4 linked regions of the Lepisosteus oculatus genome follow. The protein of the gene in region 1 purifies or fractionates together with the protein of each later gene. This does not show direct contact. Links are inferred from orthologs where the notes say so. Each region holds a gene or a part of one and is shown in the gene's direction. Other genes may lie near its edges.

Region 1 (7,582 bases):
CTCTCAGATCAGCTCTGCCCAGTGAACTTCTTTCACAGTATACAGGTTTTATTCCTGTGCACTGTGTCACAGCTGACCCTCTCAGATAACACACTGATCAGATGGATTTACCTGCCTTCCTTACAGATACCCACCCTGAACACATGCGATGGGAGCAACACACACAGTCAAGCTGCAGTTTCCCAACCCCTGCAGACTGCAGCACGATGCAGCACCACATCACGCAAGGAAGAGCGGATCTTCAGCCTGGAACAAAGAGAGTGCTGCTCGTTCTTGTTGTGGAAATATTCCACATATAATAATAATTGTACAATTTTACATCTGCTCTTGGTAGTTTCACCACTAAAAAAAAAAAGATTCCCTTTTCATATTCTTCGGCTTTTCACTGGAATGTATAAGACACAAACACAAACCTATACAACAGAGTCATTTTTCAAAATCTTTAAAGGCTTCTGCTGATAGCCAATAGGAGCAGAGGGCAAGCTACTGTAGGGGTTTGCTTCTGTGCTGCCACACAGTAAAGTTTCTTATCAATGGGACTTTCAAGGAAAAATTGAGAAGACATTAAACTATAATATACACGTGACATTTCAGACTTGAGATCTGAATCATCTATTCCGTTCAGTGTTTAGCTTTAAGGTTTAAACAATTCCACCAGTCGTTAACGTTTGAAGGCCTAAAGCACTCTGGTAACCTAAGTGCAGATCAGGGGTGTCAAACTCCATCCCTGAAGGAACTCTATATTCCAATCCAAGGAGTCAATTAAACAATTAACCTAATTATTTTCTTAGTTTGACAGAAACAGGCTGTTTCTTAACCTTTTTCACGGTTCATTACTTAAGTCATTACAGGTTCAATTACCTGTAGAACATCTTAGGTTTTCCAGTTACACAGATGTTAAATAATTGTCAGGTAGGTTACTGAGAGCTCAGGTGGACCAGACACCAGACATGGTGGGAAAAGGACTGAATTGAGTCCCTTGCTCTACAGACGCCAAAGTGTTGTTTTGTCAGATAAACAAAGTGTTGGATGAATAACATGTTTATGCGTTTACGTGGGAAGTGTCCACGTGAATACAGAAAAATCACAGAACATTTAAAACAACAAGTCACCTGTGTCGTGTGGTCCACGTGTTTCTACTGATTGCTTCACTTCAGATGATATTTCACCCAACACGTGCGTCCTGTTTTCAGTTCCATAACAACACGATAAAAGAAAAAGTTCCAATTAACAATCAATTATGACCGCATGTAACACACTGGATTTGGAAGCGCTAGAAAAAGCCCTCTGAAACTACATAAGTAGGACAAATGTTAGCCATGAGAGATACGGCAGTGGATATCTGGAGGCTTACCCAGACACTTCCAGGTGTTCTGCTCATTAAATCGTGTTGTAACATTGCGCTTTAAATTTGTCAATAAAAACAGATTTCGGAACTCGTGGTTCCTGTGTATTCTGCTCTTCTGGAGACACCCACTGCCTCCCTGGGCTCATCCGGGGCGTGCATAGCGCCGAGGACCCACTGCTCGCCTCATGACGTGCCATCCACGGAGGAGCGCATGTTTATGGGACGCCCTGTCGTTTCCAGAAACCTCCGCCATCCCACGAGTCTCGCCGGACCCGCAAAGCTTCAAAGTGCGTCGCTCGGCTGGAATCCTAGGTCCCGTGTTTTGGTGTCTTCCTATCTAATCGCAGTATAGTTAAAATGGCTGAAACGTTGAAGGGGGGGTCCCAGTTACCTGATCCCATCACAGCCCGTGAGAGGTGGGATGCTGACCTCCATGTCCCTGCACACTCCTGCTCCACGCCTCCCCAATCTGGCCTACCCGGCGCTCCTTCTTAATTTCACCTGGTGAAGCTCTGTCTCACCGCGGCACGCAGCCTGCCGTGTAGTGAGTGGGCCTGCTGCCCGTTATTAGCTGGGCTCTGCGTGGTGGGTCCACTCCCATATCTTTTCATTTGGGGATTAAAGGGGCTATATGAATACCAGGAATTATAATTAACAATAACCGTATACCTTTTTGTTATGAATATTGTTTGTGCAAGCATGCTCAAACACGATGTGCATGCTCCAAATGCAGCTCATGGACAGCAAATGATTACATTCTTGTGTGCAGAAAACAAAAGACCACTTACCATAATCATTTCTGATTACGTGCACAGAGAGAGACTGTATTTTAAACCTGTGTACTGGGCTATAAATATATATTCAGAAGCAATGCAGACCATTGTATATTAATGTAACCAGAATGCAGGTTTAAGAAATGACAGTTGTAACTTATACATCAGCACCACAAGACGATAACTACAGTCCTCAGAGGACAAGCGGTAGAAAAATATTATGACAAAATAATCACCATTTCTTGTTATTACAAAGCGATTTGTGCAAGTCACCACTGTCATGCTGAAGAACTGAACATCTTCCCCAAGCAGACTGTGCGAAGAGCTTTACTTCTGTGCTTAAATCGCAGAAATAAGGGAGAGTAGTAAAAACAGTTATGAAAATAACAAAAGCTACTGTATTTTTTTTACTCATGAAGAAATTTACTTCTTCAAACTCGGAATCGTAAAACCACTGGATAACAAAATATAAAGCAGTAATTCACTGCCAACTGAAGATAAGTACAATTTATGTACATCAGACTAATGCTATATATTTATTGAGTAAATTTAGTAAAAAATAATTATTTTTTTACGAATCCCTAACAGTTTGTGTTGACTGTGAGCTTGTTCGTTTTTTTAAACAACATTTATGATTCCATTAATTTAACCAATCTACGTGGTCATACACATATCTTCACGGCGGACAGAGCGACGTCTCCCAGTGTCAACCCACACCGGAGGCAACTCGGACACAATCCAAGGCGCTCCTCTCAGCAGCCGTGCGAGGGACTGCGCTCCCACTCGGCACAGCCGAAGACACGGGCCGTCCCCAACAAAACAAAACAAAACAAAACAAAAAGGCGTGTTTTCACAAGACTCGCACCTGCCTGGGTTCTAGGAACACCTTGTAATGCTTTACCGGAAAAAAATGACGATGCACCACAGTGTGAGTGTGGGAGCCGACGGAGGGAAAAAAGAAAAAGGTGAAAACAGGTTGTATGTTGTGCAAAGCGACGTCACTCGCCGCCGGTGTGAAGATGCCTGTTATACCACACGCACCCACAATAATGAGAGAGTCGCGTATTCGGTGAGGTGGCAGCAGCCTATAGACTGTCTTATAAGAACAGGGTGTGAGGAGTGGACAGGGGGACACTACACCCCCAATAAGACTCCAGACCACCGCAGGGCTCCAGACTTCGCTCGCGTTCGGTGTGGGTGCCCCTTCCGCCGAGAATGGCATCGATTCCGCTGTGAGACCATTGCGTCACCGACGCGTCACCAGCGTGTGCGGGTTCGAAACCAAGAGAAGAGTGACGTCAGCCCTGCCCCACGGGCGACCGGGTGTCGCGCGTCCCCCCGGCGAGACGCGGCCGTGATTCCCCATCCCCAACACAGCTGACTGGCGCACTGTATCGCCTCATGATGTTACACTGTGTTTTAAAACTGTATCCTGCATGCGATTGTGTTAGAGGACCGTCGGGGCTGGCGGGTTCAGTGACTGTATCTCATCGCCCGTCCTGCCGGGCAACACTGAAGAAACAGCTCTGATCGGGTCGCTCTCGGCTGCTTTCACACTTTCCACCTCGGTGCGAGGTGACATTGTGACACAGCTGACTTGTTTTTTTAAAAACAGTGCTCTTCAAACGGAAAGCCGCATAAATGAAACCACGGATTTCCACTGCTACGTCTCGTAAAACGAATGAAAGGGCTTTAAGTTGCGCTAGCTGGGGTGTTTTTTGTTGTTGCTGTAGTTGGCGATCCGCTGCCCTGTTCCTGGGGCGCCTGTGCCGTCCGATGGTTTCCTGTCGACCACGACACGCACGCTGGGGGTCGGACCGGGGGCCGGCAAGGACACCCCGTAAAAAAACACAACCCCCTACCAGCGCATCGCCGTGACCCCCCCATGCTTTATTTATTTAAAAAAAAAAACTGGAAACAAAATGAGATCTGAAGTGTTCTCTTGTTTTCCACGGGTGCACCCGTGGGTCGGGTCTGCTCGGTCACTGGAGGACAAAGGTCCCCGGAGTGCACACCGAGGCGGGTCTCCCCTCGCCCTGCGGTTCGGCTGGGAACCCTCCGTGACCCACACCTCACTCACCCTCACCCACTCCCACACCCACTCGCATTCCAGCCTCATGAATAGGTACCTCGCCGCCACCGCACCTCCCGTATCCCTGCGCACTCTCTAACCCCTCACCCCCCTCCTCCCGCCGCGAGGGCACAGTGAAACAGAACAAAAAACAACAACGGCGAAACCCAACACAACACGAACGACCCGAAGCGCGCAGACGTTAAAGCCGCGACAGGACAGCGGGTCGGGCCCGTTTTGTGTTGTTCGGCTTGTGTTGTTGTGGTTGGCGTTGCTCTTTTTTTTTTTCCAAGGGGGGGGGCCGGGAGGCGGAGCGCGGATGGAGGGCTCTACTTTCCGCGGCAGGATACAGCGGCCCCGGGAGGCGTTATAAGAGCCCGTCTCCGCCGGCCGCCATTTTGAGTCTCTCTGTCCGCTTCCTGTGGCGGAGCTGCTGTTGGGCTGCGGCGGTGGACGAGCGCCTTTTCGGCTTCGATTTCTTCGCTTTCCCTACCCCTCCGTCCTCGCCGAAGGTGGTTTATTGCTGCTTCTCCTCGCCCTTTCCAGCGCCTCGCACGACGAGCCGAGCCGGGCCGGTCCGCGCCGGGGACGGAGAGAGGCGGTGTGCCGCGGTAGGTGAGCCCCGGGCCGGCCGGCAGGCAGGCAGGCTGGGCGCCCGGCGGGGTGGCCCGGCTCTCTCTCTCGGGCTGTCTCTCCCCACTCGGGACCTGCAGTGGGCTGCGTGTGCGTGTCGGGGGTCCGGGGCTGTCGGGCTGCTCTCTCCCGGTGCCACCGCCGGGAGAGTTGGAGTCCGGACGGGCCGTGAGGTGTGGTGATCGTGGGTCCCGTGTGTGTGTGTGCATGTGGACGGGGAGGAGGAGTGGGGGGGTGCGTGGGGCTTGGAAATCTCGAGTTTATCCCACCCTCGAGGAACTGCTCGAGCTCGCGTGGGGTGGTGGTGGGGTTGCGCTCGCGTGCGGTTCATCGTGTTTTTTTTTTCTTTCCTCCTCCACCCCCCCCGGTTTGCGTGGCTCGGTAGCGAGTTGTTGTTTTTGCTTGATGGGGGGGGAGGCGGGCAGGCAGGAGGGCGTGAAGCTGCGGGCGTGGTGGCGCCTGAACTTCGTGCGCCGTGTTGTTGTTGCTGGTGGGAGTGGGGCGCTGAGAGGCTGAATGACCCCCCCGCCCCCGGGGGGCTGCTGGCCTGCCGGTCCCCTCGCCCCGCCGGCCGGACAGAGGCCGGAGCGGAAGGCGGGGAGGAGCCTGAGTGAAACCCGAGAGCCCGCACTGCGCGCCGGGCTGCGGGGCCGTGGGGCCCGTGGGGGTGGGGAGCCCCCCCCTCCCCACGCACGAAGACTGTAGCCGCGCTCCGGGAAATGCCCAGCGCTTTAACTTTGGGGTGGCGTTTTGTTTGAACGGGAAGGGAAGTTGGGTGGTCGACCCCTCCCCCCCCCCCCCGGGTGGGTGAGTGTGGAGCACAGAGCCGCGGTCGTGACCCGGACTCCCGTGGCTGCTTCCTGCTCGTTAGCCGTGAGAGTGGGCTGGGGGCACCTCTGTATTTGTCCAGCTGCGAGTAAGGTCCTGCGGGGGGTTCAACTGCCCCTGCTCTGAGTAAGGTCCTGCGGGGGGTTCAACTGCCCCGGCTCTGAGTAAGGTCCTGCGGGGGGTTCAACTGCCCCGGCTCTGAGTAAGGTCCTGCGGGGGGTTCAACTGCCCCGGCTCTGAGTAAGGTCCTGCGGGGGGGTTCAACTGCCCCGGCTCTGAGTAAGGTCCTGCGGGGGGTTCAACTGCCCCGGCTCTGAGTAAGGTCCTGCGGGGGGTTCAACTGCCCCGGCTCTGAGTAAGGTCCTGCGGGGGGTTCAACTGCCCCGGCTCTGAGTAAGGTCCTGCGGGGGGTTCAACTGCCCCGGCTCTGAGTAAGGTCCTGTGGGGGGTTCAACTGCCCCGGCTCTGAGTAAGGTCCTGCGGGGGGTTCAACTGCCCCGGCTCTGAGTAAGGTCCTGCGGGGGGGTTCAACTGCCCCGGCTCTGAGTAAGGTCCTGGAGGGGGGAACTGCAGATCAACAGGTGACTTCGGGGGAGCGCTTACAGCCCCGAGCCCCAGAGCAGTCAGGTGGAGCCGAGGTTCTGGTTCAGCCTGAGCCCTGGCTGTGTGGCTCTGTTGCGCGGAGGGCTGGGCTGTGTGCCGCTCAGGCTGGCTTGCGAGGAGCTGGAGCGAGGCAGTGCAGAGGCAGGCGAAGCTGGAGGCTTCGGGGTCGTGTTTCACTGCTCGGCGGTTTTGGGGGGAGGTGTGCTAGCAGCCTGCCTTTCCTTTGAAGATTTCTGCACCAAATGAGTTCCATATGTGTGAGGGAGGTGCAGGCGGCTGTCTGGAAGCTGGGGGCCGAGAGCCCAACAGCAGATCTTTTATTTCTTCACCACGAGCCCTTTCAGCTGCAGCGCGGAGAAGTGCCGAAGTGAGCAGAGCTCAGGCATTCCTCTCGGCCTGTGGAAAAAATGCGGTTGCGCTGGCCTGTGGGGAGGAGGGTGGGGTGGGATTTCATAGTGGACTGGTGGCACTGGTGTGCTTCAGGTTAGGCAGTGGCAGACTCAGGGGGTTGTGGGACTGAAACTTGGCGTGAGATGTTTGGTCATGTGTGCCCTACATAATACATACTCTGCTGCATAGGTGGGGTTGTGGCACGCTTACTTGTGAGCGCTTGGTGGTTTCTTTGTTTGCGTTATCTGAAAGGTCTATGCTAAACCTTGATTGAGATCAGTTAGGTGATTTGCTCTGGGTGGAAAATGCCAGAAATGGTATGTTCTCCATGGTGGAGGTTAAAGGGCTCAAAATGAGACAGAGACCTATCGGACTTGATGTTTTAAGACACCCCCAACACAGTCAGGTTTTTTACATTTATACACAATAAGATCTGTGTTGACTAACCTAGATTTGCCCCGACTGTTTTATGATTAATCTTGGCAAAACTAATCTCTCAAACATGTCCACAACCTGGAATGCTACAGCTACGAACAACAGCGCTTTAAAGGTGTTTTACTGTTGATCAAGTTGGGAACAGTCAGGATTTTCATAGAGAACTAATCAACTGTTTCTTCTTCCTGAGTACTGCAACTAAGTGTTATTGGTTGTAGGCTGTTTATTTTTTGTTAGCGGTAATTGGTGGGGGGTGGGGGTGTCTGTACAAGAGGTGTGGTGTAGGTAAATAAAGATTTCCTGCCTCCTGGTTCAAGAATGACTTGTGAATTAAGGGTTATTACCCCGATCCTCAATATGCTTGTGTGTAGAAGTGAATCAAATCTTTGTTTATAATCTTTATAACTGGATTTGATTAAAATAAAAGCAGATTAGAATAGTTTAGAAGTTTTTGGACATAGTCACATAAAACGTAGTTTTCCCTTTTGCTGTACTGTGTTT
Region 2 (7,500 bases), on another chromosome or scaffold:
ATATTTTATCTAAATTTAAGTCAAGCTAATTTTTGCATGCCCTCTGCCCTGTCTTTCTCACACCTGAAGAAGGCTCCATGGGCGAAATGTTGTGTTTTCTTTCCTCTTTTTTCAGCATGGAATAAACCTATAACTTGTAAGTTTTGTATGTGCAGTATTGTAAATGAAAAACACATGACAAAATGTTTCATATCTGAATCAAAGCTGAATCACAAGATGTCCAGAGTAGGTAAGTGTTGCACGTTTCTTAAATGAAATTGCTGGAAAATAAAATGAAATAGAAAGTTCTATGAATTGAAGGAGTGATAATATATATATATATTACTTCCTACCACTGTTAACAAAAAGAAGGGCATCTGAAATGGCTCCCTTCTGGCAAGTTCTTACATGAGCAGCATGCACATTGAAGAAGTAATCATACACATCTTATTGTTTTTACTTCTTTTCACAGCTACTTTTCAGAACCTGTGATGTACAGTTCAGTTTTTATAATAAGTATTGACTTAACCATGGCTGCACTGTGATGCCCACCATCAAACAGCACAGGATGAAAAAAATGTTTTACTGATGGCATATTTTTACACATTCCTGAAGTGGGTGTTGCATTCTTTAAAGCGCATGTTGAATTTGGAGCATGGAGAACAAATTTGGTTTCACTGCCAGCCCCATTAACATGTGAAATTGCAGAAAATATTGTTGTTTACTTAGTATGTTACAGCAAAGGAATATGTTACGAAACAAAAACATTAATTGATTCTCCACCATCTCTGTGTAGGCTAATAAGTAAGGTTAAGCTGTGATAGATCTCTATGGAAATTAATTTTCATTTTAAGAAGTTTTGTTTCTACAGACTTCATATTGGGGTTTCATGTCTATTACTAAATTAGAATAATTTTGTGGACCTTGGAGATTATGATGGTAATACAGTACATACAAATTAAATGTATAGTATGTACACAATCATTGTAGACCAATCATAGTACAATCATTTGTAAAGCTACAATACAGATATTTTTATTAATCTTTAGTTTGAGAGTATAGTCTGGATCTCAATCACCTTTCCCAATTTTTCTTCCTTTCTGCTATAGGAATCTTTTATGAAATGTACTGTATGTAAAAATTCAAAATATCTTTTTGAAACATCGAAAGAACTTGAAGTTAATTTTTAGCCATTATTCTAATTTAGACTAGTTATTGCAGAATGGCTTATTTAAATGAAGAGGAAGAATTGATATTCTCTATGAAAAAGCAAGCCCCTTATACCTGTGACTTTAAACAGATTCATTTTGTTGATCTATAATATGATCTAATATGATCTATAATCCACTCAAAGTGCTTTACAGGTAATGGCTTTACAACCAATGTGCAGCATCCACCTGGATGATGCAATGGTAGCCATAGTGCACCAGAACGCCCGTCACACATCAGTTATCAGTGGGGAGGAGAGATGGGGATTATTAGGAGGCCATGATTGGTAAGAGCCAATGGGAAACTTGGGCCAGGACTCTTTTCAAGAAACACCCTGGAATTTTTAATGACCACAGAGAGTCAGGACCTCAGTTTTACGTCTCAACCGAAGGATGGCACCTGTTTACAGTATAGTGTCCCTGTCACTATACTGGGGCATTAGGACCCACATGGACCGCAGGGTGAGCACCTCCTGCTGGAGCCACTAACACCCCTTCCAGCAGCAACCTTAGTTTTTCCCCAGGAGGTCTCCCATCCAGGTACTGGCCAAGCTTACTACTGCTTAGCTTCAGTGCCACTTGTGAATTGAAGACTGATAGGGCTGCTGGTGATCTACACTTTGTTTAATTGCTATGGCTACATCTTTCTTTCTCTTCTCACATTCATCCTCAGTGATGAAACTTTACTTTGCAATTCCAACTTAATATGTGCCTAACTGCCTTCCAGATTTATCTAGTGGGCAGCTTCTCAATATTGTATCTTAATGATACTAAACTTATGCATCATAAGCATTCATAGAATGTTTAAAATGCTTATACTGTGTATGATATTAATATTTTATATTATATTAATATTTTTGAAATAGGGTTGGATGGTGACACAGTGGTTAGCATTGCTGCCTTGCTGTGTTTGGGCTCTGGTTTCAGTTCCTGGTGTGCTATCTGTGTGTAGTTTGTTTGATCTCCCTGTGTTTGTGTTGTTTCCTCCAGGTGTTCTGGGTCTGTCCCATAGTCCAAAGATACACTGGTAGATGTTTTGGATAAATCTGTTGGCAAAAGGATGGATGGATTACTGGGAAATGTCTGTGATGTTGCTCCTAACTTGATTCAGCTTCTCTGAAGTGTTATAGTGTCTTTGCAAAAATTACAGCTCTTTTGCACCACACTCGTGTGGAGAATGGATATGATTCTTATTGGCAGTTCTCAGATAGGTTATATTCCTCAATTGAAATTCTCTCTTTTAGAGTTCTTCAGTTAATAACAAATGCTTGCTTCAATAATTCATCTCCTTGCATAAAAATCCTATTCCCAAAAGGAAGGCAATTATAAGCAGTGCCTAGGGTATTTCATGAGGTTTTAACTTGTTTATTTCACTTTAATTTAGTGTTCCAGTGAAAAGAGGTCAGCTTGGTTTTCGATGAATTTAGTGTCCAAATGCTTAAATCCAAACTAATAAACAAAGAGTGTAAATAGTTACTGGCTTTTGTTTTACCCTCAAATATCTATGACTGTGTACTGCAGTAGAATGAGAAAGTAAAAGCTAGAAAATTAGATAATTAGAACAATACAGTGATAAGCAAATATTATATTGCCATTACCCTCACCTGGAGAAAAAGTATAATCCAGGTGGCCAACATAAGTGGACAGAAATGACTTATTATAACCATTTATGCAGATCTCAATCAATTAAATTATGCATTATATTATAATTCGCATTCTCTTATTTTTGCATAATCACATGAATCTCTCACTAACGAAAACCAACAGGAATAGAATCCAGCAAGGGCCTGTCCTCAATAAAACCAAAAAAAGCTTAAATAAAAAAAGAGTAAATACTATTGCCCATTAGTGTAAAGCAGCATGGAAAGTAGGGTACTGGCCACTTACTGTAAACCACTTTGAAATATATTGTTTTGTTAAGCATATATGGTATATAGCACTGTTGCTCTGCTCTTTATTTTTAAATTCCTGACAAATGTATTTGAAATCAGTCAGATGTGAGCTTTTAAACTTTGTATACAGTATGCTTAATTAAATTGCAAGAGCTACCCTACCAAGGATTAAGCATGCACCCCACTGTACTAAAATGAAAAGGCTTGTTTGAGAGCCACTGTAGTGTGTATGGGACACAGGATGAAACACCAAATGCAGCAGAGGTACAAACGGCAGTATCTGTTAGCTTGGCACCATGCAGGGCCTCATGCAAAAGCCCTAGGTTTCAATCTGGGGATGTGTGAGAAAACTTGACAGTTGCACTGTTGGAATTACAATGTACTGCAATACACCATTGGTTCAGAGCTGTGGTGCAGTGTCTATCACTGCTTTTCCACAGATCATAGTTGCTGGATTCATTTCTGGACTAAGGTGCAGGCATTCAGACTCTGTGTGAGTTTGCATTTCTCCCCTTGTTCATGTGGATTTATTCCAGGTGCTGTGGTTTCCTCCCAGCTCCCAAAAGAAATGGTGGCTAAGTAAACTGGTGTGTCTTAATTGTTCTCTTGTGATGGACTGATCCTAGATGATATCCCATCTTGTATCCTAAACCATTGTGATATACTCTGGATTTTGGGATTCATCTTGGTACACGATATTCACTCTGACATCCACCCCTTAGAAGTATATATTTGCTGGTATTAGTACAAAAGTTTCTTTCTGCTTAATCCATAGATAAAAAAAAAAATTCATTGAAGTCTGAATCGAAAAATATTGGGTTAATTAACAAAAATAGAAAAAAATTAATAACTAATACAGAGTTGCATATATACAGAGGTCAAATGTTAATCGATTCCTTAAATGGAAAGGTTAGTACAGTATACTTAAACATTTCTATATTCTCCTCTGTCAATATTGAATTGTATAAGTGATTAGCATGTAACTGATGTACGTTCTGTCTGAAATGACTGAAAGGGATTACAGAGTTCTTTATATCACTATAAATGGGGATTTTGATTTTATCTGAAATGTAGAACTTGCCATTTGGAAGGCTTGAGAAGTTGAACATGTAACTTGACAGGATGTATTGTACAATTAAAGACACTATATAAAATAAAGGTGATTATTAGAATTTTTCTGCAAAGAACATACAGTATACAGTATTTACTGTATATCTGCCAGGTGCTGGTACAGTAGAATCTCTTTGAGGAAGGGGCCTGCTTCTTGTTAGCTGTGTTAACCTCTCCGAAGCCCTCCTGTCATTCGGATATTTTCAGAAGCAGCAAGTGGATGTCAATGAAATCATGCGCCAACTGTAGCTCGGCTGACAGTTTAAGTAGGCATTGGAGCGCATGACTGGCAAGCGAACAGAGGGAGGAGGGGGGAGGGCAATACCAGCTGAATTTCTTTTAACTGGATTGTGGCTTCCAACTTGTGCTCTGCAGGCGTGGAAAAGTTCATTGTACATCAGCTAAACCTTGTCAGCAAAACAGTTTTCTGTGCTTTAGACTTAGAAAGGTAAGAATGCGTGTTTTGCTATTTCTTTCTCACTAGTTGTTCGTATTTTTGATATCTCATTTAAAACGTCACTGTTTCGAATAGTTTACTAAATCATAAACTTTAAATTTTAATTTCAATGTTTTCTTGGAAGGGAATCAATTGTTTTGATTAATTATTTAAAAGGGTGTGCGGTTGTAGCGAGTGCATTTAAACAGATGACGGACACTTCGTGCCTTAATAAGACAGAATTTATTTAGTTGACCACCGGTATCGGACATTTACCGTGCAAGATGTTTTAGTCTTTTTTAAGCTTTGTCCTTATAAATATGTAATTTATATACATTTAATAGTTGAATTAATTAAGTGGAAAACACCAGCTCGTTTTAATTATGTAATGACAACGAAAGACACCAGGTGTTTTCCTGTACACTGTAGTCATCCCCACTAAATAGAGAATGCGTTTTCCAGGGACATAACATAATTTGTATATTTAAATTTATTTTTGTGCATAACTCATTTGAATGCTTGGACACAGTGTGCAACTATTTTCGACACTTTGCAGTTTATAAAGTTTATAATTTTGCAAGTTTTTTCTGTATTCTGACATGTAAACGTTTTTATAAATATATTTTTGTTCTTAATTTAACTAACCAAATAGAAGTTTCACTTTGATGAGAAACTGTTGGCGTGCTAAATATAGAATACTACGCAAAGCTTGGGTTTATTTTTTGCAATGCAAGGAAGCCTGCAGCCTATTTATAATCTACTAGGAATACCTTGGTCAGGGTCACATACTAAGGTAAAAGTTTCTAAATAGTTTATAAATGGTTCAAAACATTTACAGTAGCTACATGAATCTTTATCTTTGAGAATTAGATTTCAAATTATTGATTAGTTGATGACATTTTTCACTTTGTTCATATTTAATCACTCAGAGTAACCATGTATTCCATTAATATTCTAATTATTAAACTACATACTGTATACATGTTCAGTCGTATTTATCCAATATGATATGTGTAATTAGACTGTTTTATCAAAACCTATTTTAGAAGACTCAGATGTCAAGTAAAATAATTGATTCATCTGTAATATATCTCCTTAAGGTCTGTATTAATGTGGAACTCCAATAATTGTACTGTGTGATGTAGGTAACTGATATAAACCAAAGGGAGTTTTTTGAAAACTGAATTATTATTGTGCAGTGGATAATGTTATGTGTTTTTTGCTTCTTTTTCTAATAGGTAAAATGACACTGCTACAAAATCTTCAGCTGAAAATCGACCCTAAGGATCTTCAGATCAGGACTATAACAGTGGAAAGGTTGCTTGAACCACTGATTATACAGGTATTCAGTTTAATAAACAAGGACATTCATACCAATGGAAAAAACGTTTACCTTTGACTTTGATCAATGAATTTAATCTTAGAGGAAAATTAACAGTTAACAAAATGCTTGCTTTCTAAACAAGTAATCTAACACCAAGCCACCAATTCATTTTTAAGCCTCCAATTATTTCTACCAAATTGCTCCATGAATAAGAAGTTGATTATTATAATTGGAGAAACTGAAGATGGGCATGGCATCTTTAGGAAGCAGCTTAATAATACACTGGTGTACTATTTTCTTGTGAATGTGTGGACTTGTTTTTTCAGGACACTCAGAAAATGAGAAGGTTTTTGTTCTGGTTAGATAAATATGGGTTTCAGAGGATACAAGGCTATCTGAATGAAAAATGACAGTTCAGAAGACGGTCAGTCAACCACAGAATCTGCTATTGAGCAGCTAGAAGGAGAGTTTACAAAAGCTAATAGCCACTGTTCTTGACCAGCTTAGGTGCTACTAGGAGTCTTGGTTACAGGCACAGAGTGATACAGCCCAGACAAGTGCAGATTTTAGACTGAATTTAGCCACAACTATTTTGTTGTTGCTCTGCTCATCCATGCAATCACTTTTATGCTACCTGGTTAGTTGCTATCAGCTCCAATCCTATGCTTCAGAAAAAGTGTCTCAGTACAATAGCTGATCCTGGAGTCGTATTGCAAGTTGTGAGGAACTGCCTATGTAGTCTTGGGCAGAATGAAAAGATATGTCTCTTCAAGCAGCATGTGCCAGTTTTAGAGTTTGCATAGTGGAATGCTAAGCTGTTGAAGGGTTTCTCTGCAGAAAGAGTCATAGGGTTCTCTTAATTTCACACCTGCTATGACTCTTGATCAGAGGTTTACAATCAGCAATTCCCATATAATAATTCGGAGTAAACAGAATGTATTCTTTTACTTACATACAGTATATATTACATATATATATCCCTCACCCCTGGAAGCAAATATCTTGAATGTCATAATGTCTTAGTGTGTCTGTGTTTTTATTCAGTTCAGTTTTATTGCATCCCCCAAAATTCACTTTGGGGCATTTTTTATGTTACTAGACCTATTTGAACAAACCTGTCACAGTCGTCTTCCATCCTCTAGAGGGTGTTCCTACATTTTTTGTTGTGTTCCCAGCTTTATTTGTCCCAGCTATTTCCTATCCCCGATTCCCTATTTAAGCTTGGCGTCTCCGTAGTTCTGGGCTCAGCTTTGGAAGACGGACGCCCAGAAGCCCGCCTACCATCAGGCACAGAAGTGGCCCAAAGGCATAGGCTTCACCATGGCGTCCTGACCTCTGAGTCTGGGGCTCGGAGCGCTTTGCCTCGTTATGATTTTAATCTTCCATGTTCCTGGTTCAACGTTCCCATTCCTGTGTTAATGGTCTTTGTCATGGCTGGACCACGCGGCTTTTGGATTACGGACCGCGCCCCGATTTTCCCTTCTGGACTTCCTTGGACTCGTTAGCCTACTTCATGCCTCCTGTGCACCAGATCACTCAAGTCACCATCCC
Region 3 (7,879 bases), on another chromosome or scaffold:
ACTGAGGATCACACACAGTCTAATAACTGTTCATTAGTCACCCAAAGTGACAGTGTCACGTTTTCATAATTATACAGCTTTTGCCTAGCAGTATTCACGAGCAACTCCTTTAAGTCCCATAAAAAGTCTATAGATTTTCACAAAGTTTTTCCACAAACCCTTTACATTATCTGCACCCAGAAATTGCTGAAATGAAATTTTGGTCCTGCTTGGTTTCTCTGTTCAGACGTGCGGCTGAGATACAGTAGCACCCTGTAACCTGATCAAAACCAGCAGGGCTGGGCCTGGTCCGTTTAGCAGATGGTCAGTAGGTGGCACTCTTCCCTCTGGGCAATTTGTAATTAGTGATTCAATGTGATGACCAGGGACACCGGGTTGTAGAAAGTGGCACTGGATCTTCTGATGTAATTTTAAACTGTTTTAAAGAGAAGGGATTTTAACTCTGGGGTCCTGGCTAAAATTTCCACTGTCTTATACAATCTGGCTTTCCTGCAGAATCCCCTCAGCTCAAATGGTAAATGAATTGCACAGTTCTGACTGATGTGCTGTGTAGTGGTGCTTCTGGCCCACAGAGGCTACCAGGGCTCTGTTCCTGAGTGGTGGTGGGCGAAGTGGGTCCCCTCCTTCATGCAGTGTGCTGTGGGATCCTTTAGGATGAGAGCTGCTTGTTGCAGCCTGAGCACAGCAGAGGTCTGGAGCCGACAGGGTTTGAAATTTAAATGTCGTTGTGCCCTTCATTCTGTAAGCTGGAAACACTTTGGAGGTTCTGAGGCACAGTTCGCAGTGTCAATCAAAGTATCTTCAGCCACTAAGATATGTCACCAGTGGTTTTCTAAGTGGTCTTCCAGGCTCGTGGTCTTCTCAATATTACAGCCCCTGATCTGGTGGTGCTTGCAGCTCTCGGACCGCAGGTTTGTTCTCCGGCCTGTTCGGAAAGTCCTGTGCTCTCTGAAGCCTTTCACCAGAGCTCCCAGGTGTGCAGTGCTTGCCTGCTCACTGGGTACCTCACACCCTGCTACAGAGACGGCAGACACTTAGATAGAGAGAAGATCAACAGTCAATTATCTGGGAGTGGAATGATTGGCAGCTGCCTCCTCTTCAGCAGATGCTGTTGCAGTGCTATATAAATCCAAGTTTTCAAGTACCATTTCATTTCCACTCCAAACCCAAGTTCAGCGTTTTCAGATTTTGTGAATAGTACTAAGCGGCTCCTCGTGGGATTTAGATACACATTGTTTCCCTCACTTCTTTCCCTCACAAATCTTTTACTGTGCATGAACTGTAGCCTTCTAACACAGCAAGTTAATCATTTCTGACTGGCAAACTGTTAATTACAGGCTAAAAGAGTTGTTTCCTCTCGCCTATTGCAACAGACGCTCCCATTTCGGCAGTTTCGGCTGGAGACAACTTGCAGCCTCACTGACAGTGTTATTGTCCTTTTCATTGCGGCGGGTCACGGAGCAGGTAAAGCTGGGAAGGCAGAGGAAGAGCAGACATCCTCTGGACACAGAGGTGAAAAGGGGAGAGCAGGGATTGCTCCATGTTTTTCTAGAAGAAAACGGCAGGAAAGGGTGGACCAGGGGTAAAAGGGGAGGGGGTGTGGGCACAGTCAGCGCAGCGCCGGGGAGTGTCGACCATGACACAGCAGCCCCCCAAGTCCCTTTCCCCAAGACAGACTTTGAAATCCTGGAATTGGACTGTCTTTTGGGCAGCAGGAGCAACAGGGATCTGGTCTGGGGCCGACCGGAGCACCAGTGGCTACTGGAGTGCAGTGACCAGGGAGGTCTTGCCCTTCATCAGATGGGGCTGGGACGATCAATCTCTGGAGGTGTCTTCTTTCACAGAGGGAACTCAGTCAATGCGTGTGTGGACACAGGGGCGCGGTCTCCTCTTTCCCTGCTCAAAGACCTTTCATGGGCCCACCCACCTGTTGCCCCGCCCAGGCAGTGTCCTCAGATCCACTGTCCCGCAGCCTTCGCCTGCCCGAGGAAGACGTCACGGACTGTCTCCCCATGGTGTCAGAGGGATGGAGAAAACATCTGGTCGTCTTGTTTAGCAGGACACAGGGTAGCCTACACCCTCTCTTGGACTGTTTGGAGCCTGGTTTCGGTTCCCTTCCTGTCCTTTCTAGAAAATGCAGGCTTGACAGCAGGACCTAGCGGCTCACTGTCCATGGGGAGGCCACCAGTTGTCTCTTCCTATGTGGCCCACTCGTGGGTCTGCACCCACTCTTTGACCATTTGGAGTGTGGCTTCGGCACCCCTGCTGTCCTCTGTAGAGGGCACATGCTCTGGCAGCAGGGTCCACAGCTCATGTGAGGTGGGGAGCATTCACAGTTCTGCTGGGCGATAATCTCTATGGTGCTCTGGGAGCAGGGTCCCACAGCCAGTGATCGCATGAGGGCCTCGTCCCAGTGACGTGCTGGGGTGCTGCTGGACATCGTCTTCTGTGGAGCTCTGGCAGCAGGGCCCTGTGGCAAATGGGAGCAGGGCTGGATGTCACCCTCTGTTGCACTAGGCACAAGGGAGCAATCTTGTAAATGCCTTATCTGTGCCAGTCCATTGCTCCCCCCAGCTGCTTTGCTTTGGCTCTGTCTGAGCAGCAGTTGTTCTGCTGTGTTCCAGGTTTCGCCTACAACCCAAGACAGGGCATCCCACTCTTTACACCAATGCAACACAAGCTCTCGTTTCAGCAGCGGCATTACGCAGGCTGGAGATGACTGTCAGACTCACTGACAGTTTTATTGCCCTTTTCATCACAGCGAGGCATGCCACTCACGGAGCAGGTCAGGCTAGAAGGCAGAAAGAGAGACATACTCTGGACGCAGAGGTGGGAAAGAGAAAAAGATCGAATTGCTTCCTGGTTTTACAGGGGGAAATGGTGGGAAAGTGTGAACCTGGAGTGAAAGGGGTCTTGGGGACAGTCCAACGCCAGGGGGTTGCAGATATATACCACATGTTAAAGGCAAACTGCAATCCTGATTTTTTGGACCAGTTATTAAATCTCAGTAACAAAATAAATTAATTGATGTTGTAAAAAACATTTTTATAAATTTCGAATTAAGCCCAAAATTGTGAACTTTGTGAAAGCACTAAATCACCATGTTGTTGCAAACTCGCAATCAAGTTTCCACGGGTTGTGATGTGATGCGGCCCTTTCTGCTCGCTAGTCGATGTAATGACTAATGTAAATCATGTACTGCATACAGATCACGCTGCGCATACCTGGAACTTTAATCTATTTTGTGATGTAAATATGAAATTTTACAGGTTACAGTGTACATTTGACTTTTATTATGGTTTGAAATGCACTCATCAATGCTGATTCTAACCACAAAATATTAAAATAGCTTTGTTATTTAGCTAAGTACCAGTGTTTTCAATTTCATTTTTACAAATAAAATCACATCCAGGCCTCACTGCTGTTGCACAACAATGTCTTAATCAGGTTAGCTCTGATTTTTTATTCCATGACACATTTTTTACACCACCTCCTGAAGTGAAGAAATGATTAGGGGTGTGCTGTATGATGGCAGATTGATAACCTCAGTGCAAGTTTTTGGAATCAGTGTGGCACATCTCTGCTTATATCAGTAGGGCAAAACTTTCCTCTTGGGGGGGCACATTGCTTGTGGGATTTTGATCTACCTCAGATTTATTTCCACGATCAAGCTACATATTATCCTAATTTAATTAATTTAGCATATTACCTAGGTCTTTAGCTGTTGATGATTTGAAGAGATTTAGAAAATCTGTTGGGTTATGGTTCTTAAAACTATAGTAATATACCTATGAACGTCAATAGGAATCCTATTGGTTGCCTAATGGTTGCCTGTCTGGGTGTTACAGGCAACCATTATATCACCAATTTCACATCACGTCAACAGTTAACTTTCAACAACCTCATATCTAATTTGTGGAGGAGTCAGATCCTAACCCAGGAAGCACACACTCACAAAAGGGGTAATCTCAAAGAAGCCAATTAACTTTCCAGTATGCTTTTGGGCTGTGGGAGGAAACCACACAACACCCCAGGAATTGAACTCTGGGCCCCAGCACTACAAAGTAAACCCCTGCACCACTGTGCTACTGTTACCCACAGTTCACAGATTATTTAAAAAAAAATGTCAAATATCCTTCAGCCCTCAAGAACTATTGTTCCCTTCTTTGTATCAGTTGCTTAATTGATCAGGTGCTTGAACAAGTGTTTTTTATCTTTAAATAACAAATTTAGATTGACCGATAATATTTTTCCCTCACAAAAGTTTACAATAGGGCAATCTAATTCTTAATTTATTCCTTGTTTTTTGTTATTCTGTCCAAATTTTTGAATGATCAACACAACGAAGCTAGAGCAACTGATTTAAAATGGGTCTCTCAGAAACAGTCCAGCATTAGATTTCTTGTAGCGTTCTTGAAAATGAAAACACAAGAAATACAAATGGGTACAAGCCATTTGGAACTATTTTGTTATAGCAAGCAGTAGTTAAGAAATCTACAGCTAAGTGAAAATCGGGATTTTAGAAATTGTAAGACTCTCAGAGATACAGAACAAGTTTTGTTTTGTTTCAACACCAAACTTCTCGTTTACAAGGTGCCTTTCACGGCAAACCATCTTTAGACATTGTCTAACACATACATACAATAATAACAGACAGATAGAAAAAAATTCCCTAAAAAGGCAGGACTTTGAGAATGTTATAAACCTTTTAGTAACTAAATATTAAATCATTGATACAGCACAACAATGAATGAGCGACTGACATACAACGCCTCTTGTCTCTGTACTCGAATCTTGCCCTTATGGCTGTTTTAAGGTCTCGCGAGACTCTTCTTCTTCCTCCGTAGAGGAACGGCCGCAGTGACATCTCGCGATGCTTAGCAGTTCAGCCCGGTTGGTGGGACAGTTCCGAAAAGCCGGGCAAGGTTTCTGATCCGCGGCGTCGTGGTGGTGCTCATCTGTCCTGTGGAGTGTGTGTGCGTGTGTTGGGGAGACAGAAAAGAAAAGAGCTGCCGTCAGGGAAATCTTTTTCTACGCATAATCGGTTTCAGGAGCCCCTTCTTCGGATTACCGAGTACGAGGCAGTTGAGGACTCCCGCGGCTGGGCGCTTTCGAGAGAGAAGAGTGGAGGATCCGGAAGGAGAGACAAAGCATGTCCGAGACGGAGAACAACAACGTGGAGCAGGAGCCGCGGATGGAGGCTGAGCCGGAGGGAGAGGAGGTGAGCGGAACAATAGCAGCACGGAGAGGGGCCACTGGGCTGGCCAGCATCTTGACATGGCCAGGTCCGAAGTGCCTGACGTCTTTATAGCGAATGCAGAACTTTTGACTGATTTTACTTTTCGATTTGTTTCTGGTTTTGTTTTTTTTTTGTTTGTGTTGTGGGTTGGTAGTGGGTTCCATTCTTTTTCTTGTTTCTTTTCTGGATTTTCAACCTCGTTGATGTTTCGGTTGAAAAAACTGGGTGTTTTTTTTTTACTTTTTTAGTAAACCGGCGTTGATAGGAAATAAAGGGACGCTTCAGCTGTGCGTGGTCGTGATGGTGTCCTGTTTGAAGTAGAAAAAAACCCAATTGTGATTATTGTGAGGTGCTTCGGTACTCGGCCTGCCTTGGGGATGTACTTGAGCACTAAACAGTTTTCCGGATATCGAGTGAGCCTGGAAATCGGGAGTTTCGAGGAACCCCGTCCGCGTTGATGTGTGTTTTTATTTTTGATTCTCGACTCTTCTGTCGTGAAACGAAGTCCTAAAACGAGGCGTGCGGCAACTTTACGTGGCTCCCGAAAGGAGCGCCTGTGTGATGTTTTGTGAGCGGAGGGACCGGTGATGTGCGTGTGAGGGGACTTCAGCTCCCCAGCCCGTCAGTTTTTGGCCTAGTTGCTGCTCAGGCTGGTTGGTTCCAGTCAGCCGCTTCGCCGACACCACAGCGGCATCGCGGGGAGGGAATCCGCGGAATGAATGAGCAGCGGAGCGGACGAAGGCGTCGAGGACCCCTGCTTGTTTTGTGTCCGTCCGAGTCGGTCTTTCACCCCTGCTTCTTGATACCAGGCGAATAAAGGTTCGAGACGAGCACCTCAGTATTTTCGACCAACTTCTGAAACATTTTTTGGGGGGGTCTGAAGCTTCCCGTTTTTCCCTCTCAGGGCTGCGAAACCATGACGTCACCATCAATACAAACCGCCCACTCCTGTGTGTCTGTGCTCTTCCGCGGCCGAGAGAGCCGCGGGTAACCGGGTTGAAAGCTAGTCAAGAAATCGGCGTCAGCCTGAAGTTTTCCTCTTTCACTTTTCAGCGTGGATTTAACCTCTTGTCCGCCTGCTGACGCAGGTTCCCACTCTGACCGTGTTTTAGACACCTAGTGTCCAAACGTAAAATGTGAGAGTTCGCTTTTGTTCAGTAACTTAGCTCTCATTCGTTAACTGGCATTATTAATACATTCTGGAATAATCACGAATAGGGCTTTGTACATCTGGCAGACGTATTGCACGGGTTACAGATCTAGGCACATTTTCAGCTGTTGCACTTCAGCTACAATAACAAGGATTGGTAAATGTGTTTCAGCCTAGAAGTAAAGTTTCTGTAGCCGTGTACCAGGTCAGCTCTCCATTTTAAAGTTTTTAACATTGTATTTCGATCTGCCTGTCCCGAAGGAGGAAGAAGCATCTGATCATGAGGATGGCAGTCAAGTGGAGACCCCCATCCTAAAACCAAAGGAAGAACAGGAAATGTTTCCCGACTATGAAAAGAAAATGGTAATGTCTTGCCACAACCTTTATTTTTAGTTAGCACTGTCACACCACATAGTCTTGCCTTCAAGAATATCTTTTCAAGATTTTATACTTGAAAAGCCATTTTTTTTAGTTTGATCTGTGAGAGTAATGTCTTAGCCAGCTCCTCTGACTTAACCAGTCAAATAGTTATTTTTGGATGCAGTCCATTATATAAATGTTTTAGGTGATATTTAGATGGTGCATACCTGGCACGTTTAGACATTTTGTCAAGTGGAGGGCACTTGGGTATATCCTGGCCATGTGAATGACAAGTTTAAATTTTTCATAATTCCAGTGATGAAAGTACAGTATTTTTAGATAGTAGTATAAAAGATGCTACTGTGGCAGTGTTCTGATATGGCAACAGGCAAGCGGTGCTAAAGAGGAAAACTCTTTTCTTCTTTTTGTGTTTGCAGAGTTAACAGCAGCTAAACAATGAAAATAAGTGTATGCTGGATTTATTGTTGTTAAGGTTGTGGTTTATAAATACTGACACATGCTGGTGTTTTATTCCCTTCATTTAATGCCTCTTTCGGAAAAGGCGGTGGTTTTTAACTATCCTGGTAGGTTAGGAGTGACCAATGTCTGTATCAAGTCTACCTACTGGGTGTGCTCTAAAGAAAGGTGCAGATTGCAGTTAAGAGCCAGCCATGTTAAGTGGCTGGGTTTACAGAACTGGTTGAAAAGCAGCGGGGTAGGCATAATTTCTTTGCTTACATAATCAACTTTGCTTTCATGTTTATGTTCATTGCAGAAGGGTATTTTAATAAACACCTGTGTAACTTTACGAAGCATCAGGGGAACTTGTTTTCTGGTGAAGCAGAGCTATCAGGCTGGATGCATCGTTTTTGCACATTTTACTGAATACTAAAGCTTCTGAGGGAGATTTTATACTTGCTGCACAGAGACAGTGTGTAAATATTAACAGAGCTGTAACAACATGATCAGTAAAAGCCTTTTTTCTATTAAAGTCACTGCAATATTCTGTTAAGTGTTTTAAGACATCCATCAAAAGACTTAAGTTTAAAAAAAATTGGGTTTAATTCACAGTTAAAAGCATAAAGAATAGCATTCCTTTCATTTAAAAAAAATCAGTGTTTGTTAATTAT
Region 4 (7,558 bases), on another chromosome or scaffold:
ACACAGGAGTGTCTGCTCTCTGCAGGTAATCAAAAAGCAGGTTGAACTTTTTAAGAGTTGGCACAGTGCCACTAAAAAAGGAGCTTGGCTTTTTAAAATGAAGTTTATTTCCAGTTACAAGCTTTTGTCATTACAAGTGAAACAGGTACTGAAATTTGAACTTTCTCTGAGCATTCAGCTACTGTACATCTTTAATCCTGACTCCTGTGAAGCCGTCCTGACTTTTCCTGTGTTTTCAAATCAAACCTTTTGCTAGACTCTGTAGATTTGCAGTCAGTGTACTGATGAAAGCTCCCTTTGAGCAGTCAGCAGCTAGGAAATTCTGTTGTGCTGGGAGAGCGTTACTTTTCTGATTAAAATAGCAGAGATCTGCATTTTTGGTGTAATAAAGTTCCGTAAAGGTCAAACCAAGGTCTGGAAGCTTAGCACAGATAAGCGCAGATCTAAGCTCATACATTTAACTACAGTGTGTATTGAGAGAGTTGGGGAAAGTCTGCAGACTTGCCTTTCACCCAAAAAAAGAAATGGGGAGAACATGTGTGTTTCAGCTCTAGGACTGGGAGAATCCCTCATCTCCCAGCGCAGGCGAAACCGAATGGAAGTGTGTGCAGCGCTGCTGGGGCACTGCGCGCGTTACTGGGGTCTCCGCTCCGCACCACACCCTGTCAGAGCCATCAGGCATCTGCTGTTTCCCCCTCGGCTCTCCATCCTGCCATCCCGGCACGGCTCCAGCATTCCCCGCATTCCAGCTCACTTCCTTTGGGAGAATTCCTGGAGGCTGGCAGGGAACTCGGGCTTCTCCGTGCCAGATGGATACTCCATTTCTCCCCCTCCCCTCTCACTCTCTTCCTCCCTTTCTCCCTCTTTTGCATTCTCCCCCCCCCCTCCTCCTCTCTTCGTCTCTCCCTCCCTCCTCCTGTTCTTTTCCACTTCATTTTTCTCTCTGTGCTGCCGGTGTCCATCTTTCACACCACCTTCCTCTGAGTGCTATACCTCCCTGGCTTTCTAGTCCTCCGCTGTGTCTCGCCCTGCTGTCCCTGCTGGACCTCTGTCCTCTCTCTCCGGCCCGGTCATTCATCCCCGTCTCTTTCTCCCTGCTGGTTTACCTCTGTCTGCCTCCATTCTCTGGTTCACCCTCGACCTCGCCGCCCGCCTCTACTCCCTGCTTCCCTCACAGTCCTTTTCCTGTGTCACAGAACCCCACTTTCACACCGGTCAAATCCCGTTTTTTCAGAAAAGCGAGCTGAGAGGACGGGGATTAAGAATTAGCCGGCCTGTATTCATGAAGCATTGTCAGTGGTTTAGTGGTCAGAACAGACGTTCATGATGGTATCCCTCTGAGCCTGCTGGGATTTTCTGCCATTGTCCTCCCTTCTCTTTTTCCGCTGCAGAAGAAAATTAAGTAGCTTAAGTAACAGGTTGTTAACATTTGCCATATCTTTTTCATTTATTAAGGAACTTGTATTTAAAGCTATCACAGGGGCATCTTCTCTCTTCATATCCTGTTTGAGCAACAAATAAGTTCTAATGTTTTATATATACTGTATATTCATCTGAAGTTTGTGAACCTACTTGTTCCTGTACTACCTCTTTTGATATTATTTCCTCTGCTGTTATGCGTGTCACCTGTTAACCTCGGAATTGTTTTTTTTGCTGCGTCTGGGCTTGAATTTGTAACTTACTGTTGCTCAAAATCACTTCTCAAAACAGTTATGAAGCTCACTTAGGAAGGATGGAGCAACCAAGCCTGGAACACAGGGGAACAGCACTTGAATGCTTCAGCGTCATTTCAGCCAACCTGCCACAGGATAGGAGGATAGGAAGCTCAATACATAGCTGCACAGGCACGTTGGTCGGTACACGAATGGGTAGTTACTATATATAGTTAAATGATTTAGAAAGTTCAAATATGTTTAGATGATAGACCCAAATTTAAGCAAAACAAGGACAAAGAACTCTTAAGAACCAACTTTAAATCTGGTCAGATGAACAGGGAGAAGCAGAGAAGTCCTGTCTTAAGTGGCTAAAGGATAGCCGCATCTCTTTATAGTCCACAGAACTCAACAAGTAGTGGCTGTCTGAGAGGTGCAGTGCCTGATCTCAGCACAGGTGATTCACTGGTGCCTGGAGGGTGACAAGGGAGGGCGGACTGCTCTCACTGGTATTGATGAAGGACCTGGTGTAGAAATCAGGCAGACAACTGGAAACAATTGAGAAATAATATCATCTTTTAAAAACAAAGTCTATTTTGCTTATTGCACGGGTCTCGGAGCTCGGTGAATCTTGACCTCCTCCTGGTGTCTGGGTTGGACACCAGGGCTGTGCCCAGCTCTGAATCCGCCCAGCGTTGACTTGTTTTCACTCGCTGCCACTTGCATTTGCTTGAGTGACTAGTGGGATTTTTCAAGAGCTGGTTGTGGCCGAATTGTTTGGATCGGGCACAAACGACAAGGACAAGCAGAGCAGCTGCAGTTCCAGAGCGCTTGCACGTAATCACGGCCTCACATTTAGCTGTCTTTCTTTCTTCTGTTGGCCTCGTTTCTGTGTCACCACCACAGGTCATTCTGAGGTTACAGCCCAAGCAAAGAAATTATTTTTAAGGGAAGAGACAGAATAACTAAATCATCATAACAGCCACACCTCTTCTGTAACGGTTTTTAGTGGCAGTTATCAGAGCACTTCTAAAGGTGTGACTGTTATTGCATTGTTTTCAAGATCGTGCTCCTCTGCTATGGTCCTGACTCCTACTGACTAAAGGTTGTGCATGTAATAATATGGACTTTTCTTTGTTACCGCTACTGAAAAAAAAACCCCAAAGCACTGTAAAATAATATTATGTGCACACAACACAGAAGTAGAAAGAAAAATCACACAGAAAATAAACCATATAAACTGAAGTGTTAATGCAGAATTATTCATGAAAGGTTATAGTTAAAAAGTAGGTCTTTAAATAAACTTTAAAGATGTCTGGTGTCTCAGGCTCTATATATACAGCAGACAGAAAGCTCTGTTGTCCACTGTGTGTAGCCTGGTCTTCGACCTGAGACAGCAGATGTCAAATTAAGTGCTGGTCTACACTCATGCAGTAAAGGCCTTAACCTGGAGCTGAGCTCTTCAGTTGAATTTGATGGGGAGCCAATGCAGTTTGCACAGGACAGGAGATACAGTATATGCTGGGGCAAAGTAGTTGTAATTGGTACATGAGCTGCATTCTGCAATTCTGGACAGTGAAGCTTGTGTATCAATATTTCATCTTGTGCAGCCGTGGCAGCTGAGGCACCTGCCAGCACAGATTCAGCCACCCCTCCTCAGAGCTTGATGAGCTTGAGCCCCTGAAACCCTGCCTCTGATTGGTAATGCAAAGAGATGGTCTGTAGCTACTGCAGAGAATCTGACTGCAATGTTGTTTGTCCTCACTGCTGGGATGGAGCAGTCCAGTTCTGTCTTGTTGACATGTGATGTGTGACATTACTACTACTAGAACTACTACTACTACTACTACTACTACTACTACTACTACTACTACTACTACTACTACTACTACTACTACTACAGTAGTTCCTTACATTTATCTAGTGCTTTTCTGGACACTCCACTCAAAGCGCTTTACAGGTAATGGGGACTCTCCTCCACCACCACCAGTGTGCAGCCCCACCTGGATGATGCTACAGCAGCCAAAGTGCTCCAGTACACTCACCCCACACCAGCGATCAGTGGGGAGGAGAGCAGAGTGATGAGGCCAGTTCACAAATGGGGATTATTAGGAGGCCATGACTGGTAAAGGCCAGTGGGAAATTGGGCCAGGACACCCACACTCATTTCAAGCACATGTGGGAATGGTGCTGGAAAGTTTCATGATCAGTCACTTAGCACTGTAGTGCCGCTTTTAGACCTTCATATCAGCAATGCAAACAATGTCAGTTATGCCTGACAAGACAGACATTCATGTTTTTAAAGTAATTGCAGAAATGCATACGGCATGCTGCTCTGGGTGGTATAATGACAATAGTAGCAGTAGCATTTGCTGTTATTGATTTGATAAAGTACGACCTCTTGGAGTCTCATGGTCTGTGTCAAAAAGGCAGTTCTCCAGTTCAGTCATCTGGCTTTCACCCCAACATCCAAGACAACCCCTGAGCAAAGCAGGCTCTTGATCTTCTTCATTTTTGCTGTGACTGTTTGCAAATGACAAAGCAACAGTTGAGTTGAGTCACCTTCCACCTGGCTCGCTGGCTGTTTGTGATTGAAGACTGACCAGTGGAGTGCGTATCCTTTCCCCTTTTCCTGCCCTCCTCAGTGTTTGTTTGAGCAGACATGATCGCCCCCCCCCCGCCCCCGGCCCAGCACGCCCACGGCGACAGACAGATGTGTACAGCTGTGCCGTGTGGCAGTTGCTCAGCCGGCCCAGGGCCAACAAGGAGAAGGTGCGCGAGCCTGCTCTCTGTGTGTCACACACACGCCGCTCAGCTCTAAATAACGCACAGAGGAAGCCGCAGAAGTGAATAGGAAGTTTCAAGGTACCGGAACCTGAGCAAAAATAGTTAGCACGTACCCAAAGAAGCGAATGTTATGCTTTCCTTCCCTCGGCACAGACTGTGCTGGCCTCAGACAACATGTAAGCATTGTTTGTTGTTTTTCCTGAATTCTCTTATCTTAGCAGGTTTTTCAAACGCGGTGGTGTATCTCGGGCGAGCTGCAGCCTCCAACCGGTGTATTCTTACGCCGGGTGAAATTGACGGTTGGCTCGTTGCGGCCCTGGGCTGTGTGCCTGGCGGTTTGGCCAGTGTTGGCGTCGCAGGCTCCCTCTGCGCCCGTGTGCCAGGGAAGGAAGCAGAGGGCAGTGATTTACCAGCGGGCTGTTCCTGCATGTGGCTGTGCTGCTTAGCTGCAGCGATGCTGGGAGACGCCAACTTCTTTGGCCTTGTTTCCTGTGCAGTTGTCGTCCATTCCCATGCAGTCTTGTCCGTTAACAAGTGCACTTTGTAATTTGAGCAGCACAAGAATAGTACAGCTGCATAAACTCGTTTTTATCTGCATTCAGGCCAAATAATAGTATTGTGTGTATTCAGCTTTCCGAGATAATGCTGCCTGCTCAAAGGATAGGGCCAAGCACGCTGGCCAGACAGGACCTGGGTCTTTTATGGCAAATTATTCAGTTCATGGGACAGTGAGAATGAAAATCCTCATTTTGGAGTTGATATTTTTTGTGACTACCAGAAAGCACAATGTTCCTTCACTTGTGCAAAGTTGGAGTGGCAAAAGTGGAAAGCTTTGCTTCCTCACAGTTCCAGGGTCCTGGGTTCGATTCCAGGCTGGAGTGCCTGTTTGTGTGGAGTCTGTATGTTTGCAAGGACCTCCAGCTCTGCCCCACTTCCTAAGGGCAGGGAAGGTAAGAGTTATTGCAATTATTCATTCTGAATTATGTGAGATCTCTCTTCTGCCATGATTTCACTGTGGTTTGAATGGTCAACGCTAGTGCAGTGTCCCTGTAGGGACAGCTAACGGGCTTAAAAAAGGCACATTATCAAAACGGCAAAGCCTCAATCCTTTTTTTAATCTCACGTCCTCTTGTACCTTCCCCTGGGGGGGCAGCATTCTGCTGCCGAACATTGATACAGGCTCGTCCAATCAGGCTAGCACGTGGAGATGGCAAAGAGGCGCGTATTTTAGCCCCGGAGAGTCACATGTACACTTCACTGGCTCCATCCCTACAAACCCAGCCGAGAGAAGGGCTGAGTGAAACAATGTGTGCCTTCATCTGCTTTCCCTCGCTAAAACCCCTCTGTTTTCCCCCAGGGCTCTGGGTGAATGTCTGTCACTGAGTGTAGAGGAGATCCTGAGTTTTTCCCCTTTTTCATATCGATGTCATTGTGCTGTTTCTTTTGGTCAGTCATGTCCATAATAGGACCCTAGGGGGACATTGTAGGACTTAAAAAACAAGTGTCTATGACAAATACTAATCAATATCGTCAAGGTAGGCTGAGCAGGCTACTGTATGTCTATCTTAATAGCGAAATGTGGGTCAGAGTTGGAATCTACTGTATAAGGAAATTAATTAAGGATGCAGAGGAGGAGACACGTCTTTACACAGAGAGTTGTGGGTGTATGGAACTCCCCATGAACTGACTAGGCTATACTGTACGTTAGTGACCCCAACATCCACGTGTCAGGGCTGCTCAGTCCTTACCGCTTCAGCAACTGGCAATTCCTAATTGGCCGAGTTGAAAAAGAAAACGGCAAAAGACAAAGTGAGATTAAAAAATTAGGTGTTTTGCAGTGTTTCATGACTAAAATCTGCTGGAGGCTGATTACTGCTGAAGTGCTACTTTTCCATTCCCTCTCCATTTAGTTTCTGGGCCCTTTCTGCATCCCATCTCTGCAATGGGGCAAACTTCTGTCCAGAGAAAGTTCTCGCTTCGCTTCAGACAGGTGGCACAAGGGAAACAGAAAGTCTCACACTGCCCGAGAAACAAGATATTTACAGACCCATAATCAGAAAAGCAGTGAACAGAAACACTCACTGTAGGTCCTCTGGGTCATTTTTGTGTCTTATTATAAATGACAAATAAACTTGCTGAAGTTAGAAACATAAAATACAAATGTCAGAAGTCATTATAAAAGTGTTACTTCCTGCCTGTGGGTAGCACAGCATGACCTACTATACAATATGCATTTCTACCGGGCTTTTCTGTAAACGGCACTTCAGACGGGTCTGAATTTCCTTTCCCATAAGCTTTGTTTCCCTCCCGTGGTTGAAAACACGTGAAGCAGACGCCAAGGCAGTGCAGCGGACTGACGTGGACTTCGGGTCTACCTCCTCTCTCTGAGAGACGAGGGCCAGCATACACCTGCGTGGGAGGCTTTGCTGAAACGGCTGACCGCATCCTGCGCTGAGCGCCGTTTCATTAATTAACGGGAATCTGAATCTTCATATTTTCACGTCAGCTCTCCCTGTCCCCCATGCCGCTGTAAACGTGCTATTTAAGGGTGGACAGTGAACCTTCTCTCACATGGGCATTTTGTACCGAATGAAGCTGCAGGGCTCTCTCTATGTGCCAGACCCGGAGTCAGGTTGTTCCAGTTCCTTTACGATTTGGGCTGGCTACCTGAATGCATTGAAAGTGGGTTACCTTGGACAGTTAAATGTTCCTGCTTGGTAGCTAAAAATCCAAATATTAGATAACCCTCACGCATTATTACCCCCTATTTCTTTCTCAGTATTAATATTTGTAGTAGTCATTTGTAGTATTGCTGGTAGTTGTAATACCAGCTGTCACATGTGGCCCAGTCTGTCATGTTATGAATGGGCTTGTACTGGCTGCGCAATGGACTGGTAGACCAATAAGTCAGCAGAGGGCTCTGCCTCCGACACAGAAAATTAATTCTACTGGTTACTTCAAGCCTTGCGTGCAGAAAATCCGATTCAAGTGAAAGAGGTGGAGGGGAGACACTTGCGTCTTCAACTGATAACTCGCTTCCGAACTGCATCCCCCTCACAACACTGATCATTACAAAATGAACAGGACCAGCTGTCCCCCAGGGCAACCGAATAAAAAAA

Evidence for each region.
Region 2: the proteins of ctnnb1 (region 1) and catenin alpha-3 purify together in Homo sapiens (affinity purification with mass spectrometry; 4 studies listed by BioGRID and IntAct, counting the BioPlex papers as one, with this or other methods). This does not show direct contact. The link is inferred for Lepisosteus oculatus from reciprocal best matches to the Homo sapiens genes CTNNB1 and CTNNA3.
Region 3: the proteins of ctnnb1 (region 1) and smarca5 purify together in Homo sapiens (affinity purification with mass spectrometry, with the first as the bait; 3 studies listed by BioGRID). This does not show direct contact. The link is inferred for Lepisosteus oculatus from reciprocal best matches to the Homo sapiens genes CTNNB1 and SMARCA5.
Region 4: the proteins of ctnnb1 (region 1) and hdac7a purify together in Homo sapiens (affinity purification with western blotting; 5 studies listed by BioGRID, with this or other methods). This does not show direct contact. The link is inferred for Lepisosteus oculatus from reciprocal best matches to the Homo sapiens genes CTNNB1 and HDAC7.

Annotation. Positions count from the first base shown.
Region 1 is NC_090705.1:42,390,483-42,398,064, forward strand, and holds the start of ctnnb1 (catenin beta-1), read left to right. Parts: upstream 1-4,569; 5' UTR 4,570-4,704; exon of another isoform or gene 4,705-4,807; intron 4,808-7,582. UniProt on the Homo sapiens protein: Key downstream component of the canonical Wnt signaling pathway.
Region 2 is NC_090699.1:34,545,137-34,552,636, forward strand, and holds the start of catenin alpha-3, read left to right. Parts: upstream 1-4,496; 5' UTR 4,497-4,637; intron 4,638-5,863; 5' UTR 5,864-5,868; coding exon 5,869-5,967; intron 5,968-7,500. UniProt on the Homo sapiens protein: May be involved in formation of stretch-resistant cell-cell adhesion complexes.
Region 3 is NC_090696.1:27,528,829-27,536,707, reverse strand, and holds the start of smarca5 (SWI/SNF-related matrix-associated actin-dependent regulator of chromatin subfamily A member 5), read left to right. Parts: upstream 1-4,875; 5' UTR 4,876-5,152; coding exon 5,153-5,221; intron 5,222-6,650; coding exon 6,651-6,752; intron 6,753-7,879. UniProt on the Homo sapiens protein: ATPase that possesses intrinsic ATP-dependent nucleosome-remodeling activity.
Region 4 is NC_090696.1:16,830,943-16,838,500, forward strand, and holds the start of hdac7a (histone deacetylase 7), read left to right. Parts: upstream 1-4,554; 5' UTR 4,555-4,569; coding exon 4,570-4,615; intron 4,616-7,558. UniProt on the Homo sapiens protein: Responsible for the deacetylation of lysine residues on the N-terminal part of the core histones (H2A, H2B, H3 and H4).